Callithrix jacchus: one gene and its partners. The protein of the gene in region 1 interacts with the protein of each later gene in a biochemical or structural test. Links are inferred from orthologs where the notes say so. Each region holds a gene or a part of one and is shown on either strand. Other genes may lie near its edges.

The links.
Region 2: of the proteins of MAP3K1 (region 1) and MAP2K4, one has a biochemical effect on the other in vitro, tested with the Homo sapiens proteins (7 studies listed by BioGRID and IntAct, with this or other methods). The link is inferred for Callithrix jacchus from reciprocal best matches to the Homo sapiens genes MAP3K1 and MAP2K4.
Region 3: of the proteins of MAP3K1 (region 1) and MAPK8, one has a biochemical effect on the other in vitro, tested with the Homo sapiens proteins (3 studies listed by BioGRID, with this or other methods). The link is inferred for Callithrix jacchus from reciprocal best matches to the Homo sapiens genes MAP3K1 and MAPK8.

What each region holds. Positions count from the first base shown.
Region 1 is NC_133503.1:152,985,496-152,989,145, forward strand, and holds part of MAP3K1 (mitogen-activated protein kinase kinase kinase 1), read right to left. Parts: intron 2,855-3,650; exon of another isoform or gene 2,657-2,854; intron 1,067-2,656; coding exon 917-1,066; 3' UTR 1-916. UniProt on the Homo sapiens protein: Component of a protein kinase signal transduction cascade. Activates the ERK and JNK kinase pathways by phosphorylation of MAP2K1 and MAP2K4. May phosphorylate the MAPK8/JNK1 kinase.
Region 2 is NC_133506.1:78,530,513-78,534,870, forward strand, and holds the start of MAP2K4 (dual specificity mitogen-activated protein kinase kinase 4), read left to right. Parts: upstream 1-1,489; 5' UTR 1,490-1,499; coding exon 1,500-1,614; intron 1,615-4,358. UniProt on the Homo sapiens protein: Dual specificity protein kinase which acts as an essential component of the MAP kinase signal transduction pathway. Essential component of the stress-activated protein kinase/c-Jun N-terminal kinase (SAP/JNK) signaling pathway.
Region 3 is NC_133513.1:40,480,877-40,484,526, forward strand, and holds part of MAPK8 (mitogen-activated protein kinase 8), read right to left. Parts: intron 2,130-3,650; coding exon 2,071-2,129; intron 1,980-2,070; coding exon 1,841-1,979; intron 1-1,840. UniProt on the Homo sapiens protein: Serine/threonine-protein kinase involved in various processes such as cell proliferation, differentiation, migration, transformation and programmed cell death.

The DNA of each region.
Region 1 (3,650 bases):
ATCAAATATATTTTAAGGTAATCTTGATCTTGGTTGTGAGCTTCATCACAGAGAACAGTTAATTTTTAGTTAACTTATATTTTACCTGCACAGTAATAAGAGTGGTGACTGTAAATGTAGGTAGCACTTTATTGTATTCCAATTTAAAAAACAAAATTAAGTCTGTACTTTAAAAAACTTTTACAATAGCAAGATATTTAATGAACTCTAGTTCATATCTAGTTTTTTTTTTTTCTGGTTTGAAAAGATCACCTTTCCCTGAATATTAAACAAAAATAATTGTAAAAATGAAAATACAGAACCATAATTTCCAAAAACGAAATGAATGGGCCAACAGTAAAATGCACAATGAGCCACAATTGTCCAAGTATTTAAAAATAAAGGCCAACTATGAGTCATAAAGAAGTTATCAACTTTTAAAAATATATGTATGTACTGCTACTCATAGCATACGCTGACCTAAAAGAGGCAGATACTGATTTTACAGCCAGTGACAAAAAATTTGAACGGAATTGCAGAACCCCCTGCTTGTGATCACTATATGAAATGGAAGAATAATTGAAATATTAAAATAGATCCTGAGCCCCTCAGCTGCTAATATTGCTGAAAAAGTGCTCCAAAAAAATAAAATTATGCTTCTGCCATTTAGTCATGCAAACTTGTTTTCCTGTTCACGTAGGGCCAGTTCTTTGAAAGGCACGGTTTACAGTTTCTGCACTAGTTGCGGGCTTTTGCATACTGAGCTTAGGTACAGATCATGATTTGTCAATCACATACTTAGGTAAGGGTTCCCCACTGGCCCTGTTCATAGCTGTTCAGTGGCATCATGGCCAGTAGAATATCGATGTGGTACCCCACAAGTTTTTTTTCTCTTGTTGAGCATCCTGTTTCTACTGTAGGTGATTTGTGTAATTGGCTACCATGTAGTACGAAAGACTGGATGCTTCAGTAGCTCTCTTGATGGAGGTCTGTCCTGAGGTTGAAGTTCTAAACAACGAAGAGCCACATCTCGTAAACCGGGAGACAGATGTGATGGGATCGATGGAGCAGTAGTTGCACTAGCAATCTGTGGAGAAAGAGCCAGAGTGTTAAAGCTTTGCACAACTGGAACTTCTGATACAGAAACACATGTGCATATACCTCATCATCCTTATATTCATATCCTGAACAGAGAGGAACTGAAGCAGAAGTGGGAGGACTTTCTGTTATCAATGTTCAGGTAGAGAAAGTATTCACTCCTATGAATTCTGTTTTCATATTCGGCCACAAAGATGGTTTGTTCTTATTGCACATTTTCTATTTCTTCAGCATAGACAGCTATTTAGATTAAGAAAGACTAAACCTGAATAGCCAATTTAGTACACAGAAAACACAACTGCATTGATTTTTTTCCTTCAATGTTGGACAAATTCTTAGTATCAAATGCATTATGAAGAATGACTTTTCAATAAATTTTACGTCTGAATACTTTAAACCCACCTACCCACTCCTAATCACAAGAAAACTCTTTCCTTTCCCTACCCCAATAATTTCATAAATGCTTTGGGTTAAAAAATGCAAAGTAATATAAAGAAAAATCCTATAAGGTCTGTGATGCTATATGAAGATATACTCAGCTGATACATACACATCTTAGACACCACAAAAAGGGAAAATACAAAACAAAAAATGAAATCCCTTTTCCTTTTCCCCAAATGTAACCACTTACTTCTGACGATTTGTGTTTTTGGTTTTTTTGTGTATGTGGAGAAAAAAAGGCCAATATATCTCACAGACTTTAGATTTTCTAAAATGTCTACAAAAGAGAAAACTTAATTTCGAGACAGGTTCTCTCTCACTGTCACCCAAGGTGAAGTGCAGTGGTGTGAACATGGCTCATTGCAGCTTTGACCTCCTGGGCTCAAACGATCCTTCCACCTCATAGCCTCCTGAGTACCTGGGAGCACAGGCAGGTGCTACTATGCTCAGCTAATTTTTTTTCTTTTTTTGTAGAGACAGGGTCTTGCTATGCCCAGGCTGGTCTCCAACTCCTGGGCTCAAGTTATGTTCTCACTTCAGCCCCCCAAAGTGCTGAGATCACAGGCATGAGCCACTGTGCCTGGCCAGGATCACTTTATGTATCTTGCTCTTTTCACTTATTAATGTATCTTGTAGCACTTTCTAAACACCAACAGCTTTATACTAAATTTATTTAATTTCTATATAGTTTTACATTGTGTGGATAATTTAATTACTTTCTTGAGTAGAGTGAATAATCCTGAACTTGGCACTTGGTACTTCTAGAGGTAATCTAGAGTAAATCCCTAACAATGGGCATAGCTGAGTCAAAGAATAAGTGCATTTAAATTCTGGCACTTATTTTTTTTGGGATTTTGCCAAAATCCAAATTTGGATTTGGATATTGCCAAATCGTTCTCTTAAAAAAATGTGCTACAGCAATTTTTACTACCATAAACAGGTATGTAAGTGTTTGAGAAAGCCGTTTTTCTGTCTCTTTGGGGTGCTTCCAAAGACCTCAAAGTATTTACTCCAAGTTAAGAAAACGGAAAATATTATAGTACAATTCTCTTTAAACTCTATCTATGAAGGAGAATGCAATGAAATCTGTTAAAATATGAATGGTGCCAATTTTAAAATCATTTCCATTTGTTTCCAGGGGCTCACCAAAACTCTGAAAATGACATCAAACTTTCAAATTGATCCTAGTTATGAGTATTTATCGAGCAACTTCTATTTAAGACTCTGGAAGGAAAAAAATGAAGCAGATGTGAATGGACCTCAAGGAGACTTAATTTGAAAAAGGAAGCAATATAGGAACTTAACTAGGATACAAGAAACAAAGTGTCAGAAACAAGTATGTACTAAAATGCTACAGAATCTGTGGAAGCAGTAAGAAGGGGGTGCCCAAGCAGGAGGAGCAGAGATATGGGCCTTAAAGCGATTAAGAATTTGATCCATGTGGAAAAGGGACATGGGAAGTCCGAAAGAATAGAGGAAATGAGGTAATAATACAAAACAGGTATTGTCAGAGAGGTGACTTAGGAGGTTATAGTAAGTGTGGGGAGGACTGGAGGAGGTGATGACAGGTGGAGTTGACTGTGTAGGTTGAGTGACTAAGGCCTAGGCATAATTTTGTTTATCTTCATGGTAATCCTATGAAGTATGTGCTTCATAGGATTCTTGCAGCAGTTTTACATATGAGAAAATGGAGGGTAGACACAAAAAATAATTTCCCTATGATCACAAGGCCATTAAGGGTTTAAAACTATGTCAGGGTGACTCCAAAGCCCATTATTTCAACTATCTCATGTCTACTGAAAAGTCTACTAAAAATGTCAACCATTACCTATTCTATGGTGGAAAAGCAGAGAGTGGATCTGTGAGTTATGAAAAGGTAGGTAGAACAGGATTTAGTAACTGAACTGACTTGGGTGTGAATTAGGCCAGGTGCAGTGGCTCATGCCTGTAATCCCAATACTTTGGGAGGCTGAGGTGGGCAGATCACTTGAGGTCAGGAGTTCAAGATCAGCCTGGCCAATGTGGTGAAACTCCATCTCTACTATAAATACAAAAATTAGCTGGGCGTGGTGGTGTGTGCCTGTAGTCCCAGCTACCTGGGAGGCTGAGGCAGGAGAATCACCTGAACTAGG
Region 2 (4,358 bases), on another chromosome or scaffold:
AATAATTTGGATGGGAATGTTTCCTTTTGTGTTCTTATAAGATTTCTCCTTCGAGGGCCTCACCTTTAGGATGCCCCAGGAGCATAAAGAGCAGGGTGGGCGACTGATTTCCTGATGGGAATCCAGTGATGTTTATAAGACCTGGACTTGGAGATATTTAGCAGTCAGCCAGGCACAAGGAGGAGAATTCCGGAGGCTCCCCACTTAAGTACTTAAGTACATCTACCTGCTCTCCCCTTCAGTTTGCCTTTAATGCCTCTCCACTCGACTTTTATGGCTAGTGACTTTTAGGATCTGAGCAATCAAGGTGATGGATGAAGTTGGGTTTGGAACAGGAAGGCAGAACTATTTTGACCTAGGATACTTTTCTAACAATCTGTGAGGAACTTTCAGCATCAAATAAGGTCTGGGTGGAAGGAGTTTGGGGAAAGAAGTCTAGGCATACACAATGCTTCTAAATGGCAGAAAATGTCCATCTCCTTGGCTTAGATTCTTTGGGATGTAGGATAGCTGGTCATTCTATTTTAGGCAAGACTGCCTGGCTAGAAACCCGTGTCTTCCCATTTCAAGTACATTATGGTTGGCTCTCAAATTCTAGTCTCACAGAGAACTAGTTTTCTTCGTTTAGTTGCTGTCTTCCTAAAATAAAAGTCTCTGTGCAAAGCAATGGAAGAAACCTCATATCGTTTTTTGGGGTTGTCATTTTATGTAACTTACAGTAATGACTATGGCTAGTCTTACACAAGATGTAAAGGATTTGGGGGCGGGAATCCAGTCTGCCTTTAGCGGAAGATGGTGATGTAGATAATATTATTTCAGGAGGCTGGAGTGTTGGGTGCTTAAAGATATGCTTCTCACATTTAATGAACATGTGAATTACCTGGCGGTATTGTTAAAATGTAACCTCTAATTCAGTAGTTTTGGGATGGCTCCATGGATAGCACTTTGGTTAGTGCCGCTTAGGACTCCCCCTTCCCCTCAGAGAAGTGTAGAGGGTTGGGGTATTGAGCTTAAGAGGAGTTCCAGACTGTAACCTAGCTACAGGTAACTTCCCTCTGGAAGTGGAGCGACTGGAGGAGAAAGGGATCCCTGGGATCCTTTTCAGCTTTACTATTCTGACTTTGGGTTCTGAGATTCCAAGAAAGGGGACTTTTGGGAGTCACATGCTTCCATGAGAATGATGAAAGCTGTGTACCCTCTCTCCCCACAAATGCAGAACGATTTTTAATTCTGCAAACCACTTTAGGCCCCGCGGGCCCGCAGCCCTAGTCCAACACGGCTTTCGGCTTCCCAGGTCCCGCACCCCGAGACCGGCGGTTCTGCAGCTCAGCATCTGGCGCGGGATACGCCTCCGGCTCGGGCGGGGGCGTGTCCAGAGGCGTGTCAGGCCGTGTTGGAGGCGGGGCCAACGCGGGCAAGCCGCGCCCCTCGGCCGTGCGAGAGGCCGAGCTTACTGCATTGCAGCCGCCGCGGCGCCGCTCGGCTCTTCACTCCCAACAATGGCGGCTCCGAGCCCGAGCGGCGGCGGCGGCTCCGGGGGCGGCAGCGGCAGCGGCACCCCGGGCCCCGTAGGGTCCCCGGCGCCGGGCCACCCGGCCGTCAGCAGCATGCAGGGTAAGGAACGCGGCCGCGCCGAGACCCCGGCCCCCTCGCGCGGCAACCCGCGTCGTCGCGGCCTGCCCCAGCGGACGGCCCCGGACCCGGCTGAGGAAGCTACGGCAGTCGCCGGCGTCTCCCTCTCTCCCTCCCCGGCTTCCCCGCCGCCTCCGGCCCAGCTTGGATCCGGGCTCTGGCCCGCACAGGCCCCGGCCTCGGCCTCTGCCTGCGCTTGGCCCCTGGGCCCTGCCGGGCTCCCCGCCGGCCCGCGGGGCCCACCTGGCCCGGGACCGCCCCCGCGGCCGCCCCCATCGCGCCCGCCGCTTACCTGGCGCCCGCCTGGCCCCGGTTTCCGGGAACGCGCGGGCCCGGGGCTGCGGCGGGGCGGGAGGGGCGTCGGGCCTGGCTCCCGTCCCTGACGCCGCTCAGGTAGGCGGCGGAGACAGCGGCCCCGGCCGGCGCCCCTCGGCCCGGTCGCCGCAGTGGGCCCGGCTCAGGGCCATCTTGGCTCTCGCCGGGCACAGCTGGAGCCAGACCACCGAGCCGACCTCGGGCTCGGCGGACCTCTTGGAACCTGCGTTTTGAAACTTTTGCAGGGTTTCTGTGCGCTGGAAGGGATGAGGGTGGGGGGCGAGTTGCTCAGTCCTGTGCCACCTGTAAGGTAGGTAGATAGGCTGCCATTGGCCTGGGAGAGGCATTTTGTCCCAGGCCAGGGATTTCTGTGTTAGCAGGAAGGGGGAGGAGGGGAACAGAAGACTGAATTCGGTTTAAAAAGAGAGATACAGGAAATAGGCAGGGGTCAAAGTGATACTGTCGTGTCTGGACATCTGAGGCAGCTCTGCTAATTAATGGCTTTGCCCACTGGGAATGCCTATTAACTCTGTATGGTTCTTGACAGGGGGTGTTGTGAAAATATCAGGCCCGAGCCTGTTGGGGACCATTTCCTTAAATTTACTGGGAAATTTTGAGTAGTAATGCTATTTTTAAGACAGGGAATTTCAGAAATCTCTTGACAACTTTAGCAAACGTCTTATGTTGAATTGGTATCAGAATAAGGGTCGGGTACCTTTGGTAGTCGGTGTGACCATGGTTACTTTTTGATTGCATTCTTCTTAAAGGGCTTCTTGTATTTAGTTATGTTCAACAGACATTTATTGACTATTTCATGTTTATAGAGCATGCCATAATTCAGGAAGAAGAGACATGATTTTGTTTATCTTTACACCCCTGTCACCCTCGCCGTGAGATAATTTTAATATACATAAAAACCAATGATAGATATATAGGCAGGATGATGTCAGAGCTTAGAGGACACTTTCTGTTCAGGCCTAAGATAATTCATTCAAATTGAATTAGTTATTGGATGCCACTGTGTTGTACAGCACATTATACTGATGAAGTATAAGATTGGCTTCCTGACGGGACAGCTACCATCTAGGTGATAGTGGGGGGGAAATGAAGTGGCAAAATGACAATTTAGGATTGTATTTCTTGTGCCAGATGGGTGACTTAAGCTTATAAAAAGAAGGTGGTTTGTTTGTTTTATTGGTGGGGAAGCTGACAGTTTGAAATAACTGGATACAATTTTTTTTTTTTTTTGGTTCAAAAAATATTTATTGAACATCTGCATAGAACTCTTATGCTGAGTTTATAGAGAATTGGACCGTCTCTTCCCTGATGGAGGTTATCCTCTTGTGAAGATGGGGGAGGGAAGGCTATTTAGCTAAACATGAAAAATTCCTAGTTGGGAAAGTAATAAAGTAACAAGCTGGGTTTTGCGGTAGAAGATAATAGAGGGCAGTCCGCTTGATAAGATGGTCAGGAAGGCGTGTCTGGAAAGCTAACTGTCTTTTACTGAAGGGCGGTTCTGGACAGAGGGAACAGTGTGTAAGAAGGTTCCAAAGCAGGGAAGGGCTCAGAGTGTTCTAGGAACTCTTAAGTTGTGTGGTTAGGAATTTCTCTGATGCTCTCCATTCTCCTCAAACCTTGTATGTTGATATCCAGTAAAGTAAACTTTCTAATAAGCAGAACGAACCCATTTTAGATGGGAAAAGGACTTAAGACCTCTCTTTGAATTATTGCTGAATTTTCTTTTGTATCAATATTGTGTCTAGGCTTAATTGATTCAGGAATTTGTTCTATCTTGTTTTTGAAACTTTTCATTTGTCAGAATGAAGAGAAGTGCTTGAAATTCTCAGGATCTTGTCTAGCACAGTCTAAGTTATAAAGCTTGATCTTAAGCAGCAATTTAGGATCTTTCTTTTTGTTTTGTTCGGTGAAGAGTCATACCTCCCGGCCAGGCGCGGTGGCTCACGCCTGTAATCCCAGCACTTTGGGAGGCCGAGGCGGGCGGATCACGATGTCAAGAGATCGAGACCATCCTGGCCAACACGGTGAAACCCCGTCTCTACTAAAAATACAAAAAATAACCAGGCATGGTGGCACGTGCCTGTGGTCCCAGCTACTCGGGAGGCTGAGGCGGAAGAATCACTTGAACCCAGGAGGCGGAGGTTGCAGTGAGCCGAGATTGTGCCACTGCCCTCCAGCCTGGCGATAGAGCAAGACTCCGTCTCAAAAAAAAAAAAAAGAGTCATACCTCCCATACCATACTTAATCTACCAAGGAACTCCTTTTCCTTTGGATCAGACTTTACAGAGTGGGCCTTAGAAGATGTTTGATGTACTTCCATTCCTTCTTCCCCAATCTGGTTATACTTGCCACTCAAAAAACTTCCATTCTGGGAGTTGTTAATGACCATGCTC
Region 3 (3,650 bases), on another chromosome or scaffold:
TTGATTTATGGCAATCAAGTGAACTCAGAACCTAGAAAAAGGCAACTTAAAAACAATAGGAAACTACCTCAAACCCATTAAGATGGTTACTATGAAAAAATAAAGTGTTGGTAAGGATGAGGAATAATTGAATATTCAAGTGAAAATATTCACTTGATTTATGGCAATCGAGTGAACTCAGAACCTAGAAAAAGGCAACTTAAAAACAATTGGAAACCACCTCACATCCATTGGGATGGTTACTATGAAAAAAAATAAAAGTGTTGGTAAGAATGAAGAATAACTGAATCCCTTCTGCACCATTGGTGGGAATGTAAACTGGTAGAGCTGCTATGGAAAACAATGTGGCAGTTTCTCAAAATGTTGAACAGAATCACCATGTGATACAGCAATTCTGCTTCTGGCTATATGACCAAATGAACTGAAAGCAGGGTCTCAAACAGATACTTGGACAACAGCTAAATGCAGAACCAACCCAAGTGTCCACTGATCGACGAATGGATAAGCAAGTATGGTATATACATAAATGGAATATTATTCAGTCTTAAAAAGGAAGAAAATTCTGACATATGCTGCAACATGGATAAATCTTCAGCTCATTATGCTAAGTGAAATAAGCTAGGTGCAAGGAGGCCAATACTGCATGATTCTGCTTATATGAGGTGTTTACAGTAGCCAAAATCATACAGACAGAAAATAGAATGATGGCTGTCAGGGGCTGCAGGCAGAGGAAAATACGGAATTACTGTCTAGTGGGTACAGAGTTTCAGCTTCACAAGATAAAAAGAATTCTGGAGATGGATGGTGGTGATAGCTGCTAACAAATGGTGCTGGCACAACTAAACTGCCACGTTTAGTGGCACATACCAAAAGCACAAGTGATGAAAGAAACAATTGTATTTCATTAAAATTGCAGCTTTTGTGCATTAAAGGAAATCATCAGCAAAGTGAACAACGTACAGAATGTGAGAAAATATTTACAAATTATATACTTGATAAAGGTTTCAAACATGGAATACATAAAGAAATGCTACAGTAACGACAAAAAGATAACTTAATTTAAAAATGAGCAAAGGGCTTAAATACACATTTCTCCAAAGACACACAAATGGCCACAAGCACATGAAAAGTGCTCAACATTAGTCGTTAGGGAAATGCAAAGTAAAACTACAAGGAACACCACTTCATAGTCATTAGGATGGCTAGAATTTATAAAGTCAGATAAATACCGGCAAGGATGTGAGGAAACTGGAACCCTCATACACTGCTAGTAGGAATGTAAAATGGTGCAGTCACTGTGCAAACAGTTTGATGGTTCCTCAAAAAGTTAACTAGAGAATTACCGTATGACCCAGCAGTTCCAGTCCTAGGTATATACCCAGGACTGAAAACAGATATTTGTGCGTGAATTTTCATAGCACTATCCATAATAGCTGAAAGGTAGAAATAATACAAATGTCCATCAATAAATGGATGGATAAACAAAATTGGTATATAGAATAGTATTCAGTCATAAAAAGGAATGAACTATTGATACATGGTGCAACATGGAGAAATCTTGAAAACATCATGCTATATTTCACATAAATGGAAATATACAGGCAAATCTATAGACACAGAAAGCAGACTGGTATCACGCCAGGACAAAGATGCAGAACTGCTAAAGAAATGTGAGGTCTTCTTGTGGGGTAACAAAAATATTTTTGAATTTAATGTGGGTGGTAGTTGTACAACACTGTGAATGTACCAAATGCCACTTTAGAATGGTTACTTTTGTTAATGTGAATTTCACCTTAATGAGAAAACGAAGGGTATATGCTGATAGTTTTTTTCTACTAACCCGATGAATAATTCCAGCGGAGTGAAGGTGCTTGATTCCACACAGCATCTGATAGAGAAGGTAGGACATTCTTTCATGATCTAGCTCCATCTGAATTACTTGGCAAAGATTTGCATCCATGAGCTCCATGACTATGTAACTTCATGGGTGAAAAAAGAGAACAGCTAAAGTGTCCAGCAGCAATCTAAGAAAAATGTATTAACTTAACAAATTTTAATTATTATACTTACACATCTTGAAATTCTTCTAGGGATTTCTGTGGTGTGAAAACATTCAAAAGGCCAATTATCTATGGTAAAAGCCGAGGGACAGAAAAATTAGAAATTACTTCCTAATAATTTAATTTGGGAACTACAAATACATGGGTTAAAAAAAACTAACATCAGTTTAAAATCTTTCTTTATATTCTAATCTCAAGTAATTGCTTTTATGTTACATACTGCCACTTTATGGGCAGGAGTTGGAGGAGGTAATGGATAGGTGGAGGTACAGAGGATGTGTAACCCATTTATCTGTAATTCCATTTATGAAGTCAATTATCAAGCACTTACCTTACATTATACAAATCTCTACACAATTTATCAGCAAATTTTAAATGCCTTCTACCAGTTATTTTCCAATTAAGTGTCCCTATATAATCTCAGCTCTTTCCTCCCTTGGTTTTTCATAATACTGCACTTGCCCAGCTTTCTTCATTCCCAGTCTATTTCACTGGCTCATCCATAAGCATATCCCTTCATTCCCACTACTGTGCTTAATCTATTTCTTTTCACTTTCTGCATAGACATTTCACAAATAAGATAACACTGAATTCATTTTCATTCCTACCAAAACCGCTTACTTTTTCAGTACACCCTCTCTTTTACAAAAGAAGGCTCAGAGTGATTTTTGACTCCTTTTTCAGTATCTGCACCATAATAAATACTCATAGAATGCTGTCCATTCTACTGTCAGTCTGACCATCAATCTCTTTTTTCCATTCCCTGTGCTATAAATAGGTTGAAGACTTCAACATCTTATCTAGACTGTTCATGCTGTAACTCCTTCTAACACTAGTGTTACAGATTGATTGTCTTCCCCCACACCCCTACTCCGCACAATTCATATGTTTAAGTCCTAGCCCCCAGTGTGATATTTGGAAATGGGGACTTTGGAAGGTAATAAGGGTTAGATTAGGTCATGAGCTTGGGGCCCTCACAATGGAATTAGTGGCCTAAAACAAGAGAAGAGAAAGAGCAATTTTTCTTTCCCTCTCTTTGAGCACACACTGAAGAAAGGCAAGTGAGGACAAAGTGAAAAGTTGGCCACCTCTAAGTCGGGAAGCAGGCCCTCATCAAGAATTGATCTTGACCTTCCCAGCCTATAGAATGGTGAGAAATAAATCTGTTAAGACACCCAGTGTACAGTATTTTGTTATGGTAGCCTGAGCTGACTAAGACAAGTAGGGTCACTAACGATGGTTTTATACAAATCCAGCTACCACTTACCACCTATAACATGGTAAAAGAAAGACCTGACCATATTACTTAACTCCTCAAAAATTTAAAGCCGACAAATATATTCTGAAACTCCCTTGCACTTGCAGTATATTAAAAAGCCTCCAAGATAAGCCTCAACTCACTTTATCTCCTGCTAAGTCCCATATTATACTTTAGCTAGCAATAAGTTTCAAAAATGTCATTTTAAAAATGATATTTTTAAACAAACAATTCTCTATGCTTATTATTTATCTACCGAACTTAATTATCTTCCAGATGAACCTCTTTGTAGATTCTGACAATCCCTAGTCCCTGACAGAGTTAACTATTCT